Schizosaccharomyces pombe: one gene and its partners. Changing the gene in region 3 together with the main gene of any one other region gives a genetic interaction. Each region holds a gene or a part of one and is shown on either strand. Other genes may lie near its edges.

Evidence for each region. Genes that interact genetically often act in the same process or in processes that back each other up.
Region 1: mutations in tco1 (region 3) and atp15 together harm fitness less than expected from each alone (positive genetic interaction), as found in Schizosaccharomyces pombe (one large-scale study listed by BioGRID).
Region 2: mutations in tco1 (region 3) and bst1 together harm fitness more than expected from each alone (negative genetic interaction), as found in Schizosaccharomyces pombe (one large-scale study listed by BioGRID).

Annotation. Positions count from the first base shown.
Region 1 is NC_003423.3:3,783,263-3,786,875, forward strand, and holds atp15 (F0-ATPase epsilon subunit Atp15), read right to left. Parts: upstream 1,241-3,613; 5' UTR 1,201-1,240; coding exon 1,172-1,200; intron 1,100-1,171; coding exon 925-1,099; 3' UTR 594-924; downstream 1-593. Other genes in the region: bch1 (ChAPs family protein), read left to right, coding at 2,586-2,617, 2,667-2,793, 2,939-3,613. UniProt on the Schizosaccharomyces pombe protein: Mitochondrial membrane ATP synthase (F(1)F(0) ATP synthase or Complex V) produces ATP from ADP in the presence of a proton gradient across the membrane which is generated by electron transport complexes of the respiratory chain.
Region 2 is NC_003424.3:1,682,152-1,689,458, reverse strand, and holds bst1 (GPI inositol deacylase), read right to left. Parts: upstream 4,865-7,307; 5' UTR 4,270-4,864; coding exon 841-4,269; 3' UTR 594-840; downstream 1-593. Other genes in the region: SPOM_SPAC824.03C (uncharacterized protein), read left to right, coding at 1-557; 1-phosphatidylinositol 4-kinase Lsb6, read right to left, coding at 5,632-7,307. UniProt on the Schizosaccharomyces pombe protein: Involved in inositol deacylation of GPI-anchored proteins which plays important roles in the quality control and ER-associated degradation of GPI-anchored proteins.
Region 3 is NC_003424.3:3,588,048-3,593,030, forward strand, and holds tco1 (RTA1-like protein), read right to left. Parts: upstream 2,524-4,983; 5' UTR 1,903-2,523; coding exon 928-1,902; 3' UTR 568-927; downstream 1-567. Other genes in the region: vacuolar CorA family magnesium ion transmembrane transporter Mnr2, read left to right, coding at 1-241.

The DNA of each region.
Region 1 (3,613 bases), on a different chromosome or scaffold from region 3:
TCGTTAAGAAAGCGTAAGTGGTGACTTTTGTCTTTGCTGTGTAACGTATTTAGTTCGTGGTTTTCAAAAAGAAGAGTGTGTTGATTTTCTGCATCGTTAATACCGCACGTTGCCTTCGACTACAAACGCCAACATAGACAGGTGCAGACAGGTCTCAAACACGTCTTTAGTGGCATATCTAGAGACCCAAGTAGTCACTAAATAGCGAAGTTAAACGATACACTATATCCTTGCAAGAAGAGAAAGAGTACAAGGCATCAAGTGGAGTTTGTTTTGAATGTAATGCGATTTCGTATGTATACCCTGTTTCTTTCATTCGGGCTCTAAAATTGTATTCATACAATTAAAAATTTTTTAATGGGTGAGTTTGCATGATTGTTTGAAAACAGTAGAACAAGCAATTTTGTTCGACGTTGAAGCCATTTTTTAGAAACTAGATAACGATACAAACAATTAAGAACATAGTATTGTAGTAAGTTTACTGTGTAATGCGACTATAAATGATCTCGGTAGTAGCAAAAACAAAAACTACGTTAATGAATGATATTAGTGACAAAACTCACTTACTTCTAAATTAGCTACATCTCATTATAGTAAAATCAACAATTTTTGGTTTTGAGACAAAGGCCGATTATAGATTTGATCGAAAATACAGAGCAACCACAATGATTTGAAGTGCCATTCTCAACAGTTTTAAGAAAACAGAGCAAACTACCTTGTTCTATTAAACTTCATCATTAAAAAAAGTAATAAAAATTTATTGAAAGGATCAGTTAGTAATTCAACGTTAAGTCGAATATAGTAATCATTATAAGAGATTGTAAACCATCAGTGATATCTGTTGAAATGAGTGAAACATCAAATGAAGCTGAAATATTACCAATGGGTAATGAAGGACAAAAAATTCGTTTGTAGCCTTTATTTTCATTCCTTATCAGCAGACTTTGCCGAATTGTAAGACTCCGTTTTTTCCTGAGCGCCATTTTTCCATCGAGTATAAAGGAACTCTGCATCACCATGAGTTTTAACCTCGTTTTTAATTTCCGGTTTTAAGGCTTGACGAACAGTTTGGGAACAAATAGAAGCATATTTGCTATAACTACAAATATTCATTCATTAGTAAAACTATCAGGGTATATTTAATGTTCACATTCAAGAAATGAATCCATACCTAAAGTTTTTCTTCCAAGCAAAAGCCATTTTCTCAATGAATTGCTAAATCGTACAGAGATGGGGGAACGGTAACTTAAAATCCATGACACTCTCTTGAAACCCCGTTCGGTAAGGGTCGGACACATTTATTGAGTTCAATATGTACATTCGTTAATCTAACATTGGTAACGTGCTTTTCTTAGTAAAATATAGCGCAGTTTGATTAAAATGACTTTGGTGATGCTAACGATTCATCGCTATACAGATTGCCTTTTTATTAATCAACACTATTCAGTAAATAAATATTCAAAAGGCCGTATTAATTTGAATTGACAAATGAATATATACCTCTCATCAGTCAAAAGGCTGGTTATTTTCGCTACTAACCATAATTTATTAGAAGGACAAAGCGGTACCAAAGCCTTAATTGTTTACTAGCTGGGCAAGTGAAAGTAATTCAATACATTCGCAAGAAAACTGAACTTAAGCACTGTTACGTTTCTCACTTTGTTTAATCTTAACACTTATCGTAGTTAATTTAAAAATGTCAGTTAAAACAAGCAATGTATACTAGCACTCTCCATTGATTGTATTTAGTCAAATTAGCTTTCTTGATGAGCGTTAACATGAATGGCTTAAGCATAAATTTCGATTCTTTCTTTGTAGAATTTTGCACTATTAAATAACGTATTCGCACATGTTATTTGGTTTTAGGATATTTTAAACAAACAATGGTTCATTGCAAGAGACATCTATCAAAATGTATGGCTAGATGAAACAAAAAATTTCTTGTCAAGGAGATATATAATGCAAAAATCAATAACTCCTGATTCTACTTTTAGACGTTTCATTAAAGGTTCGTTAAAGATTTCGAAATTCGGAAAAAAATTCACAGCAACTTACATTCGCAATTGCTTGGAAGTATTGTATTAATTTATCATATGCTTACCAGCGTATTGTGCGAGTTTTTTAAAGCTAACATTGTGCGTATGACTGGTCTAACTTTTAGTGGAAACTAACATAAAGCTGTTCTTTTTTTTAATACTAATTGCGTTGGATTCCGCACCAACAAGAAATTTTTATTTCAATTGTATTAATCAATGAGTTGTAATCTTAAGAAAAAATTATCGCTACACTATTCGTTGGGTACTACTTTTGACTTCCCTAAATCATCAATTGTCAGGATGAATGAAGATACAAATCAAAATGTATAATATTCAATTATTTTTTGGTTTTCAAATACACTAAATGCATAATTTAATGATATTTATTTATTCTTTATATATAAGGAAATTGTGGACGATTGCCTAATTGTCGCTTGCTACACTTCGTTACAGCAAGTCAGGCTGCGGCTACACCATAACCTCTTAACTGGAACCAGCCACGAGGCCGAATTGAACGCTGCTTTGCATATTAATTCCAATTTATGATATATGAGTGATTCATTCTTTAAGGATATACCAGAGTAAGTTCCTTAAATATAATTGAGCTGAAGTTCTAAACAATGACGATAGGTTTTTAGAAACTCGTGTAAACGAGTCATTAGATGCGCGTTCTAAATCCATCGCACAATTTAAAGAACTCGGGCCTCCTGATCAGGTCAATACTATAAAAGTTAATGCAAAAAATCCATCAAAAGAGGTATGTCACTTTTTAAAGCAGCGAAAGCTGTAGTGTTAATGATGTTGGAGATTAGTGGGGAAAGGATCAAGACAAGTCTCTCTTTACCAAACTTTTCACTCCTATTGAAACGTTAACGTTTTACGTATTATTAACCTCGTCAAAGGTTGGAACTTATCACTTTGTATCTGGAGTTGATGCTTCTTCCTCAGCTTCACTAGCGGCATATTTAAATACGCTTTCCTATTCTCTTGATAAAAGTCAACAATGGTTTGGGAAGGGAAACGCTTGGCGTGTTAGTCACGGAGTTTACTGTTGCTACAATGTCTTCTCTCAAGTTGATGTTCGTGTGGAAGCTAAAATTCCTGGAGGTGTTGACACATATGCTATTGATGAGAATGGGCAAAAGCATATTGTCGATGCTCGTATGTGGACAGAAGCATATATGTCTGAAGTCCTTCGTTCGTTACTTTATTCTGATGATACAAATTCTCGCTTTGCAGGACATCGTCGTTTTAACCCCATTCCAAATCCTGATGCAGAATTAAGATTTTTTGAGGCTGCCGAACAGCTTTTTACGTTAGGTTATACTCTAGGGTCTTCTTCTGAAGTTCGGGTACCTACGCATGTAAATAATCATTTGGTTCGTGGAATTTTCGCTTACTTGAAGCAAACCTGCCGCTACAGTGCTGCTCTAAATCTTTTTGAAAAGCTCCGGGTGTCAATTCCAGAGGTATCGGTTTTGCTTGCTGAACTATACTTACTAATGGACCATGAAGTGCATGCTGTTCGTATCTTGCATGATTCATTGCTAAAACAAAGAATGTCCGCTAGTTTGCTT
Region 2 (7,307 bases), 1.9 Mb from region 3:
AGTATGTGCTAAAGCAACACAGTTTTCAGCTTGAAAGATGTGGTGGAAAGGGCGATGGTGGGGTGGATTTGGTGGGCCAATTTTCGATTAAAAATGTGTTGTTTGAGCCCACCAAAGTTGTCGTATCCTGCAAATCTAACAAGGGATCAATAGGGCCCAGATTTGTTAGAGAGCTTGAAGGCTCTTTGTCATCTTATCCAACAGATACTCTTGGGATTTTGGCTTGTTTGGGTTCTTTCACATCATCCTCACTGAAGACTTTGTCCATCAGCAACAGACCTCTTGCCTTATGCCGCATATATGTTGACGGATTTCATAGCTACATGTTTCAATTTGTTTGGAATCACCAAGCTTTGGCTATTTTTCCCGACCTGAGTGTGCGCCAGATTTACAAGCTTCCTTCGCCAACCGCTAATATTGTGCCTTTATCTCAGGAATTTTCCCAAGTGAATTATGTTTCCTTATTTGAACTATTACAGCCATTATCACGTACGGAAGAAAGGCCAGTACCTTTAGTGTTGGTCTACAAAAATCAAAAAATATCTCTTAACTGTTGATGACAGCTCATATATTAATTCATCTTTTTCTATTTCCATCATGCTAATGTGAGTTATTCAGTCTTTGATAAACCAATAAACTTTGTAAAGAGATATTATTCAAGGTAATAAATAGAAATAAAATTCAATGAACGAATGTCTACCAAATAAAAACGAAGTTCTATCTTGAAAATTAAAGTATGATAAGTGTTCAACAGTGTGAAAATAAAGGAAATAATGTAATATAAAAGAGAGAATAAAGAAAAAAGAGAAAAGAATTAAATAATATTGTTACAAGTTTCCATTAAGAAATAGATCGCAAAAATTTGTGCTTAATAAAATACTTCATTCTAGGAATGATCGGCCATTTCGAAATGTTTTGTACAAAAAAACCATTCTTGGCATACAAAAATAAAAGCCAAAAAAAGTATAACCCAACTACATTGTGAATGAGGTATGGTTTTTCAGCTCCATATATCAATGAATAGAAAGACAGAAGAAACAAAAAAACGTTATTTATGTAGTACTCCACGTCGTTCAAACGAGGTAGCATCTTTCCTGTTCGTAAAATTTCGGTGAGTAATATAAAAGGGATAATTGAGAAGAAATTATGATGTGTGGGGAAAGGAATAGACCAATGCATGGAAAGATTTCTAGCCCAAACAATGAGAACAGGAAAGTCCAAAGGAGCTAAGAGTAACATCAGTATTGTTATCGTGCAAGAGAAATTGTAGAAATCCCACAATTTTTTTCGGTAATGGCTTGACTTGGTGCAAAATCGGGCCAAGTGTAAAGCTTTAGCAGTAGTTACTGTCTGGGTACATAAAGCAACACCATAAACAAGTTGAAAGGGTACCACCGTCATTGCCATGAGCAACAATAACATGATGCCAATTATCCGAGCTTGCATATGCTTCTTTCCATATACGTAACAGAGAGAAGGGTTTGCATAATACATATTTCTCTGAGATAGAAAACTCGAAAGTTTTTTAAATTCTCCATGATCCAATTTTCTAGTATTTCTTGTTCTCAGACATTGAAAGGAGAACTTCACAGCTTGGCATACACCAGTAAAAGTCAAACCTTTATAACGCAAGTAGATACCATATATGAATGCTAATAAATGCATGACACAGAGTATAATAACACTGGCTGTTATAACTAAGCCAACAAACATTAAAGTTAACAGCGGGGCGAGGAACCAAAATTGAGCAGTCTGTAGTCCAAAAAGTAAATGATTTTGTTTCCAGAAAGATTTTGGAACCATCATTGCGAATATTTTCCAAGAGGCGACAGGGTCAGCACCATCGGCAACAATCAACTCTACTCTGCTAATTAAATATGAAAATGCAATTGACAAGATCGAAACTAAAAAAAGGAGTTTGATAAGTCCTTTGCGAATCATGACTTCAAGTGCAGCCGACATACTCAAGTATGCAGAACCGTAATGAAAATACCTAAACTGATTGTAAGCTGCCAAACTAATTACAACCACAGGAAAGGAAGCAAGTAATGTTCTGTAACGCATGAGCAGACGCCCAGCGCTCCTGTAATAACTTGGCTGTATTGAAACATAAACCGACTTATAGATAGCAGGATTCAAAAAGAATTCGAGAGTTAAAGATTTTTCTGATTCCTTACCAAAAAATTCCATAAATGGGGATATCCCGTGAACAGAAAGTTCTGTATTTGACATATTCACATGATATTTTGTTTCAAATGGAGATTCAATACTTTGCTTTAACATAGGGGTAAATTCTTTTTGAGGTACGGCACCAGGATAAAGTTCGTACGTTACTGAAATGGTGTAAGCCATAATTGAGCTCTGAATACCAGGGAACCTGAAGCGTTTCGAAATCGATCCTTTGGTGTCGAATTGAAATTTTCTTCCGCTTTTGAAGAGTTCAATTTGAGAACCTTTAATCGTTTTAGGATCCAACGAAACATTTGAAAATCCCCCAACAACAAACCCACTAGCGGGTGCTTTCGAATCATCAGACACTAAAATAAAATGATAATCATCCATTTTTTCCTTTGGCAATACGTAGTTATAAAAACTGTCACCACCATATGGACTGCTGGTGTATGCAGTTGAAGCAGGAAGCAAAGTAACCAATTCCCTAAGTAAATGGCAATTAGCGTTAATTACTTTATTGTTACCATTCTCTAATAAAGCAGATATAGTATTATCAATTTTTGGATCAAGGCGGCAAGCCAATACTTTAATATTGGATGACGAAAGATCAATAGGCTGATCAGTAAGCAATTCGAATCGGTCAATGCTTGAGGTAGGCTTCGGAATAGGAAAGATATGATGCCGAATATAAGAAACACCTAGTTGGTTCAAAAATAACAGTTGCCCTGGCATCTCGCTATAAACGTAAGTAAGATCAAGGTCCAAAGCTTTGTATTGAGCAATTGGTTTGGAAATTTGCGTAATGTCGTTTTGAAAAGAAGAACCCTGGATGTAGGCACGACTAAGCAACTCCTTCCTCAAATTAAGAGAAACGGTGCACTTTGATGTCCTTGCATCCATAATTGCAAAAATTCCCCGAATTAGTACCCGACGGAAATTCTCGCACCAAGCCATAGCTTGATGATCAATTTCTGCCCAAACGGAAGGGATACCAGAAGTAAAAACCATTAGACCGTTCGAGGGGGGCACAAAGGTAGAGATGGACGAATACTCCGGTACAACATGAGTATCTAAACCTCCCCCAGCTATGGAAACAAGCAAAACATCATCTAGTGAATTTTCTTCTGGACTCAACAGAAAGGACTGGGACCAAAAGTTTTTAATTGATTCATAAAATTCTACTAGATGCCTATCAAAAGGCAAAGGGGCCATTGCATGTGGCGTAGCTAAAGTAATTAGGGTATTAACAGAACCATCAACGTAGTTTTTCATCGTAAAAGTAGCTTGAGCAACAATCCCTCCCATAGAATGACCAAGTAATATAACGGACGTTGGGGGAGGAAAAGCTTCATTGTCATACTCCGAAGAGATTTTTCGATTTTGACGGTAAAGAGAGAGTATATATGGAATAGCATCATTGACATATTCAGCTTGGTCCAACAGCGTTTGGCCATGAAATGCTGAAAAATCCTCATTAAAATCCACCACAAAAAAATCAGGGACGAGTTTACCAGCATTTAGCGTACCATCAGCGTCTTCAGCGTAAGCATTAGCATAAACATGGGCAGCTTGAGCAGCAAAAGCTCTTACTTGTTTATAGCTACCCGCATTACCAGGAATGAAAAGGATAGGAATACCTGATGGTTCGTCACTTTCCTCTACGCTTTTTTCTCTATAAAGGTAGAGCGAATATTTATTTGCGAAACGAGTGTAACGTTCATCAAAATCAACAAAACGAACATAAGAAGGCCAAACATAGGACTTTCCGCAACCATTGTCCTGTGGACGACCTTGAAAAGAATGTAGAATAACTAATAATAAAAGAATGGCGATGATTGCAACATAAAGAGACCAGCTTCGTATAGCCTTAACTATAACATTCCCCTTTGAGATTTTAATTTCCTTTTCTATGGAAATAGAGCTAGGTGTTGAAGAACCAGAGCTAGTAACGCTAGGAATATCATTTTGCTCTAAATTAGGTTTCTCATCGTTTGAGGCTGTGTTGGCATTATTGCGTTTATAAAAGCCGCTTGAAAGCTTTGAATTGGAGATATAGTAGCCATTCACAGTATCTGACCTTCCCTTATCGTCTTTCATAGTTTTAAAAAACCGAGACGAAGAAGACGATATACGGGTTGAGCCTTGATACAAATCCAGGGCCGCTAATGAAAGTTAAAGACAAATAAAAGGGAAATAATAATTCAAAAGGCAAGTAAAACCTGTTAATATTTAAGACTCAGTTGTTTAGATGAAGTGCAAATTAGGTATCAACTGAAAAAGAAATTTCCAGTTTGCAAAAAATTAGACAGGTTACAACAACAGAAAAAAAAAACATATAATAAAAATCCTCGTAATTTAGGACATAAGTAGGAATTTCACAGTATTTCCCAAACACTGTTATATCTAAGTCCTTTAATCAATTTGTTGCCTCAAATGAAGAATCCAGCTCCAAAATCGAGGACTGTGTCAAAGAAATCAATTATTAGAAATGAAAAGTAGATCCTAAAGACTTGAAGGGAAAAAGGGACAGTAAGGAAATTCACTGTTTGTCTACTAACAATATAAACCTAAGAAATCAATGAAAGAAATTCATGCAACAGAAACAAAGGTTTTGTTAGAAAGTTTTTAAGTAGTATTATTTCAGCCACAATATGGAATTTATAAATTTTCGTTTAATTTTTTGATTATGGTTGGTTCGCACTAGACGTAAGGGCTGAGCTTGAATAGCCTCAACTTCGCCTTACTGAGCTGCCTGAATATCAACGTACAAATGTGGCAGCTTAGCAAGGATAACAGTTTACACTAACATTTTTTATTTTCTTCATAACCATTTGCTTTGTTTTATATTCGAAATAAATTATTGATAATAAGGATGTAACAAAACTTCATACATTAAAAATTGGTGTTCATTTCAACCTTAATGTTTGAAACAAACGTTAAATTGATATCGAAAAGCACGTAAGCGTTTTTGCAATGTTTAAACATATTTGATTGTAAACAGGCTTAAGAAATAGCACATTTTTTCCAATCATTCACAAGCAGTAGATCCTAATACTTAATGAATTGAACATTTTTGAATAATAATCTAGGAAAGAATCGCAAACGCAAAGCAATTATAAACTCAAACAGAACTAATTATGGGTAGAATAAACACAAAAAAAAGAGAGTAAACTGTAGCTAAAAATATAATAAATTTTGTTATCAATGGACAATTATGAGGATTTCAGGTAATGTCGGATTTGTATGGTAAAAAAATTAAATTCCTCAATTATGATTAGAGACCTTCATGTTAACCGCTAACATCAAACTAATATTAATAAAATAGAATGAAGTAGCAATAAAATGATGGAAAAATTAAATTAACAAGGAACTTAGAAAGAACAGGCGAGAAAATAACATATGATACCTTCAAAGACTTAATCCTCGGAAATAGTAGCATACTATTACACAAGACTTATATTAACACGTGCTAAAGACCGCATTGGAAGAAGCACACTGGAGTCTTTCAAAAATTACATCCTTTAACATTTTTGGAGATGAACTATCTTTGGACAACAGGGTAATATAATTTAACGGCAGAAGTGCTTCAGCATTTGACGAAAAAGACCGACCGGGTGTCGCTTGTAATAATTGGCTTCCTGGATAAGGAGGGAAAGTTTGTGAACATGAAGGGTGCAAAATACTCCCATAATCTCGTTTAATTGGTAAACCAAATTCTGCTTCTTCAGAATTCGCAGACGTTGGCTCATTTACTTCGATACGAACAACATCCTCAACAACATATAAATTAGGGAGCTCAAGTAAATCATAAATATTCATGAGGGGATTCTTTAAAACTTCAACAATATTGTAGGCTTGCCCTTTTACAAGTGAAAGTTGCCGCGAAAACATTTTCTCATCGAAATCTAAATCTTGATTGAATACGTTTCGTAAATCATCACTTAGTTTTTCCCACCATTCTCGGCTAGTCAACTTGTGTAAAAAGAGTTGCCTGGTAAACTCTGTAAAAGGTTGCGTAAATAAGGAGCGTGGTAAAGAGAGCCAACCATAAGGAAAGGACCTCCAAGAATCCGGATGTTTATAAGGGAATGCTAACGAATTATCTATCGCTCCTATTTGAAAATGTGGTCCCTTCCAAAAATCCGACGTTTGGGAAATAGCAGGGTCTACCGAGTTCGCAGACATATTAGGTGTTAAATTCGTAGATAAAAGATTAATTGATTTATAATATTCTTCATTATCACAGGGTTCGTAACAAATCTTGATCATCCAGTTATCCAAATTACGATCTGTATTACGCATTAAATAATCGAGCAAAACAAGTTTTTCAAATTCAAACCGGAATTTAAGGCGTAATTCTTCGGTCCAAAATTCGGTCTCAATTTCGTTCTCAGCTAAGAAAGGATCGAAAATGTCGAAGTCCTCGCTGGAAGCTACAGACTCCGTGTACTCTCGGGTTTCTCTATGTCGAGTACCAGGCCAGGGATGTTGAGCAAAAAACTTGGATGCAACGACGAAACCATCAAGAAACTGCTGAAAAGATCCAGTCTTTTCAGGAAGAGGCTTATTCCTTGTCAGAAAAGCTTTTCGTGCAAAATAATCATAATTGAAGGTTGGAGAAGAAATTGATGCAACAGACGTGTATGGAACTAAATACAAACCCAGACCTCTATCTAGAACACAAGCAGCGGCTTCTGAAAGATACGAAGTATTCGGAATTAGACAACTTCTCCCAAAAAAGCAAGGAAATAAATTTCGATGGAACCATTTCGTCCATTTAGGATTTAGCTTTCCATACGGTTCTTCATCTTTGGGTTTAAATACAGCTATATTTTTTTGGACTTTATTTTTCACAAAATAAGATCCAGAGGACCCCTTGGAAATAAGGACCGGGAAAACGCCGTGGGCGATTGCTTCCTTTGTAGCATCAAGGAGTCGAACGTAGTCTTTATAATCATATCCAGCGTAATGGGGGTATTCCTCCCAATGCTTTTCTGCATGCAAAACCCAAGAAGGAGCCATGAACACTGAATAGTAAACTCGGGGTTTTGAGATTGATTCAGACTTTCGTCTTCTTGCTTGCAAAGACTTGCTTAATTTGTTAGCCCATTGACCAAATTTTGACTGGGTAACTA
Region 3 (4,983 bases):
GGCTCAGATTTCTATTAATATGACACTTGTTTCGAATGAAACAAATGAAGTCTTATCACGTTTGACTATCTTGGGTACAATTCTAATTCCGTTGAACTTGGTTACCGGTTTATGGGGTATGAATGTTAAAGTTCCAGGACAAGACGTACCAGGACTTGGTTGGTTCTTTAGTATTCTTGGTAGTCTGATGATTTTTGCGATTTCATCTTTCATTCTTTGTAAATGGTACAAAGTTATTTAGCTCTTACTGTATGCTTGTATTTTTGCCTGAGAGTTTTCCCCCCAGGGTTACCTTGTAGCTCATTTATTTCTTTTAACATGTTTTCAAACATGGCAATCCGAATTTCTGCACAACAGCCGAGGAACCAAGTCGATCTCATGGAGTAAAATTAACTGTATTTTCTCGTTTCTGTCCTTTATTGCTTGAGTCGTGACTTTATCTCAGTTTTAAAATTAATGTATTAGACCGTTTTCCATTATCAGAAGATTACTCATTGTGGAATATGCTTTTTGTTTAAACAACTCACCATTACTTGCAAAAATATTTATTAAAAAACGACTAATAGATAGATAATTATGATTATTAATCAAATATACAACGAAAAGAGTTAAAAAACGATATTAAAGATGAAGCTTGAATGGGGAGAAGGGGATTCGTCGTATCAGTAATTTTTTTTTTTTAATAAAAAATAAACACACTCGACGTCTTGGTATTTAACACTGCTTCAAACTATTTTCTCGAAATAAGTAATGCATATTGCAAAGCAATAAATAGGAGAAGAAATGTCTCATCTAAACATTTTGTAGAAATTATAATACGGTTGTAAAAACAGACATTAGTGAAAACGAATAACAAACGTACTAGAAATTTGACACGTAGCGGAAACCATGCATGCGAATATAGATAGCTCACATTTATAAGAGGTCTTAAAGCTCCTCAGAGGAGAAAGATTTTTTGGGATCCTTGGGTGCCAAAAATGAATCTGGGTAAATAACAGCAGACATATTGGTGATATCGTTTATAGAAGGACCATATTCCGAAGGGCCATACTCCGAGGGAGCGTATTCCATAGACGAAACGTGCTTTTCGGTGAAAGGCAATTTGCTTCTCTCGAGAGCAGGATATAGAGAGGGAATCAAAAGGGCCGAAGTAAAAATCATCGGGATGAAATCAAATATATCGAACCATACCTCATGAGTAATGACCGCACCTTCCCAACCTTGTGCCAACTCAATAACACGATAGACGGAACGAACTACCATTGCAAATGTTGCGAGGGCTAGACAATTACAGGACATAGTTCGAACACGAGTATATGGAACATCTGGTTCCCTTCTGCCAGTGGAAGGACGAATGGGATGATGGGTATATAACGCAATGAAAAAAATGGAAAACAGGATAGAAAAAACAACAATGGTAAAAAGTTGGAAGCAAATACCGCCCAACATGATTTGAGAGCCCTGAGTTTGTAACTGAGAACCACTGTCGGCACCACCGGCAACACCACCGCCAGCAGCCTGAAGAATAAGAGCGATGATATCAAAAGTGATAAAGATGCCTCCATATAGCTTAGGAGATAAAACGGAAAATCGAGGTCCATACAAAAGAACGATGTGATGAAACAAAACGTAAGCCTGTGCAGAATAAAAGACTGGTGCGATAATTAAAGCGATGATTTGACCCAAGAAGGCGTTGTAGTCATCTGGATTGTACGAAGCGTCTAACCTACAAGCCCATCCAGCCAATTCACCAATGGTACCGATAATAGGGACGATAACGAGCCATTTTCTCGTGAAAGCAAGACAAGCAACGTGAAGAATGAAAGCGATACTAAAGAGAATGACAGCAAGGATGGTGACCCAGTGGGCAGGGATATAGCCGAAAGCGTTATCGTAATACATGGTAACTAATATGAGAAAAGCGAAAAAAAAAGAAGTGTATAAGTGAAAAGAGAAGTAAGAATTTAAAAAGAACTTCACTCAAAGAAACAAGGGATCGATTAATTTGTACAACAAGTCAACTCAGTTCAACTGAAATAAACGGAAAAACGGAAAACACGGAGAATGCTGTTATGCGACAAGATCATTCACTAATAAATAAAACTTTCATCAATTAATACGCAATGTTAAAGTGTCCGGTAGTCTTCAGCGACATATGATGGCGGGAAATAAAAGCACAAAATAAAGACACGCGACAATAACGAATAAAAAGATGAAGTAAAACGTAAACAAGGCGGATTCGCAATAAATAGTGAATGGCGGCACAGTGGGAGAAAATGAAAAAGACACTGGGAGTAACCTTAAACAACGGCTAGCTACGGACGCAAAAATATTGTAGCCTGCTAAATTCTCGAACAAGACGACGAAAACAATTACAACAATGAATGTGCTGGAAATTGTGGAAACAAGAAAGAACTCTCTGCCAATTACGCAAATGTACTTGGAATTCTTAATAACACCGTTGACCCTGTCTAAGTAATTTCAAACAAGTAATTCTTCAGTTTATGTACCAGTGTGTGGCTTATGGAATCTTTTTTTTCTTGATATTGTTGAGTTTTACCTTCCTCGGGGTTTGCAGTTCCGAGGACTAATTGCTGTCTCACCAATACCAAGCTTTTCCTGCTTAAATTTCAATTCACGAAGATACTCTATTTTCAGTAGTTCCATTTCAATGGCAGAGGTATTTTCGTTTGGAAGAGTCATTTCAATAAAAAGCTAGTGCTGCAAGCATAAACGTAATTTGCCGGTGAGTTTCAAACGATTTAATCGTCGTTCGCGTTCCCAATTGACGCTTGGAATGAAAAATAATAAATTCATAAAAAGAAAAGTTATTTTAGGAAGTTCTTTTTTGATATAGCTTGGCTCTTCAGTTAGCAATGCAACGAAAACTGATTTTGCGAAAGTGTCACACTTTGCTTTTGACAATGTCGGTTTTGCATTTGTAATCAGAATGATGCATAGGAACGAGATTTTGAATTGTCCGACTCGCAGTACAATAATGATAGGCATTGGAAACTGCGTAAGACTTTACTCTCATATTACTCGATAAAAATTTTCCTTTAGATTTTTTCGGACACCGTGGAAGAAAAATTTCTGATATTTTTTTTTAAAGCCTCTTAAATTGACATGACTTAAAGCATTGAACTATTAGCGTTGACCTGAGCACTGATATGAAGTTGACGACGAAAAAAGCATGAAACTAAACGTTACTGTTCCATCACTAGTATGAATGCGTAGAAGGCTCACAGCATTAAGGCTTTTTTTTGAATTTTTGATTACATTTCTATGAACTATGCTAATTTTCTAACTTGGGGAATGATAGGAAACGTTTTCCTTTTAATATGAATGATGAGTGAATAAGACGACTTTTTGCACAGGTGGTGCAATAAAGAATGCCCCTAGTTTTGTGGCTTCAAAATATCGTTTGATGGGATAAATTAATTAATTAAGTAGAATGAATGGAAATAGAATGTTTAGCGGAAGTTTCTTTAATCGCCATAAAATTTACACAAATCATTCATTTGTTCCATACCAAATGTCACTATAAGTTGACCGATACAAACCATGACTAGATGAATTGGCGGAAAAGCAGGTTTCAAATAGAAGAAAGAAAAAATGTGAAATTAAATTTTCCTCTTTTGTATAACCCTCTTTATTAATGACCTGATATTTCGTTTGAAGTGGAATATGAGTTTCTTCTCCTTCTTAAATTTTCGTCATGTATTGTACGAAACATATCGTTTGGACATTTTAAATCAGTTAACCATACTGAATGAAAGAATAACCGAAGTTGTATTTAATCATTACAACATATCCATTCTTTTATTACCTTTTATTTTTATTTTGAGCTCTATTAATCCTTGCTATATTATGTACATAATCGTTAGTATGTTACAGAAAGGATGGGTGTCCGAGTGGTTATGGAGCTGGCTTTAGGTGCGTTCAACGCATTGCACGCCAGTGCGAAAGCTCGCGGGTTCGAGTCCCGTCCCATTCAATATTTATTTTTTATATTATTATTTTAAATCGGTATATGAGTTTATTTCTTCAAGCTTGATGGAGGAAAAAAAACCCTGTTAATGGCTGCTGTTTATCTTTAAAAAGTTCTTTAAACAAAGTAAGCTTAGAGTGTTATTGATACTGGCAAACGCAGTCTTCATGAAAGAAATAGAATGCTCCTTCTTTTAACGGAAACGCAAATTGATACATACTCCTTTGCAATATTTACCCTGGTTTTTACTCTTTTTTTTATGTTTTAAATTCTACAAAAAATCTGGCTTTTCCTCGTATTGCAATTCATACATATTTATGGTATTACGAATACATCGTTGCGGGATCCCAATTCTTTTAAGAGACAATGCTAATGCCAGATTCAATGGTTTTATTTATTTTCATGAATGGAAAAAATGATTTTTTCCTTTTCAAATTTTTTTGCATTACTATAAAACCAATTTTTCTTGCTTAATCATTTTCTTGAGCAACAATGACAATATTTTGTTTTTGCACTCTTCTCTGGTGAATAAAGACAATATACGTTTTTCGGAAGGAATACTTCTGGTTAAAAGCGTTTTTCTCTGTGATAAGGTTATAAATATTACTTACAATATTGCATAATATTATCTATTATCGTTCGTCAAACCAATTCCCCACACATTGTCAATTTACAATTCTTCTTTTCTTTTACTAAATACTTATGCCCAACCGGAAGTTAAAGGCATAACATAAGTGTAGTGTTTCACTAAAGCTTTTTAATCATTTGACGATCTCAAAATCTTGCATTTGCGTGCTCGTTTTGCAGACGTCGCAATTTTCATTTAGAAATTTTTGATTAAAAAAAATAGGCGACTACGAATTCTTTTTTAAAACTCCCATGACTTTTGATGGAAGCAATGATTGTCATATTACGAAGGTTTGGCTGGCTACTATTTGCTGCTTGTGACTTGGTACTTGATCTTCTTATCTTGGCGATTCTGCACTTACCCT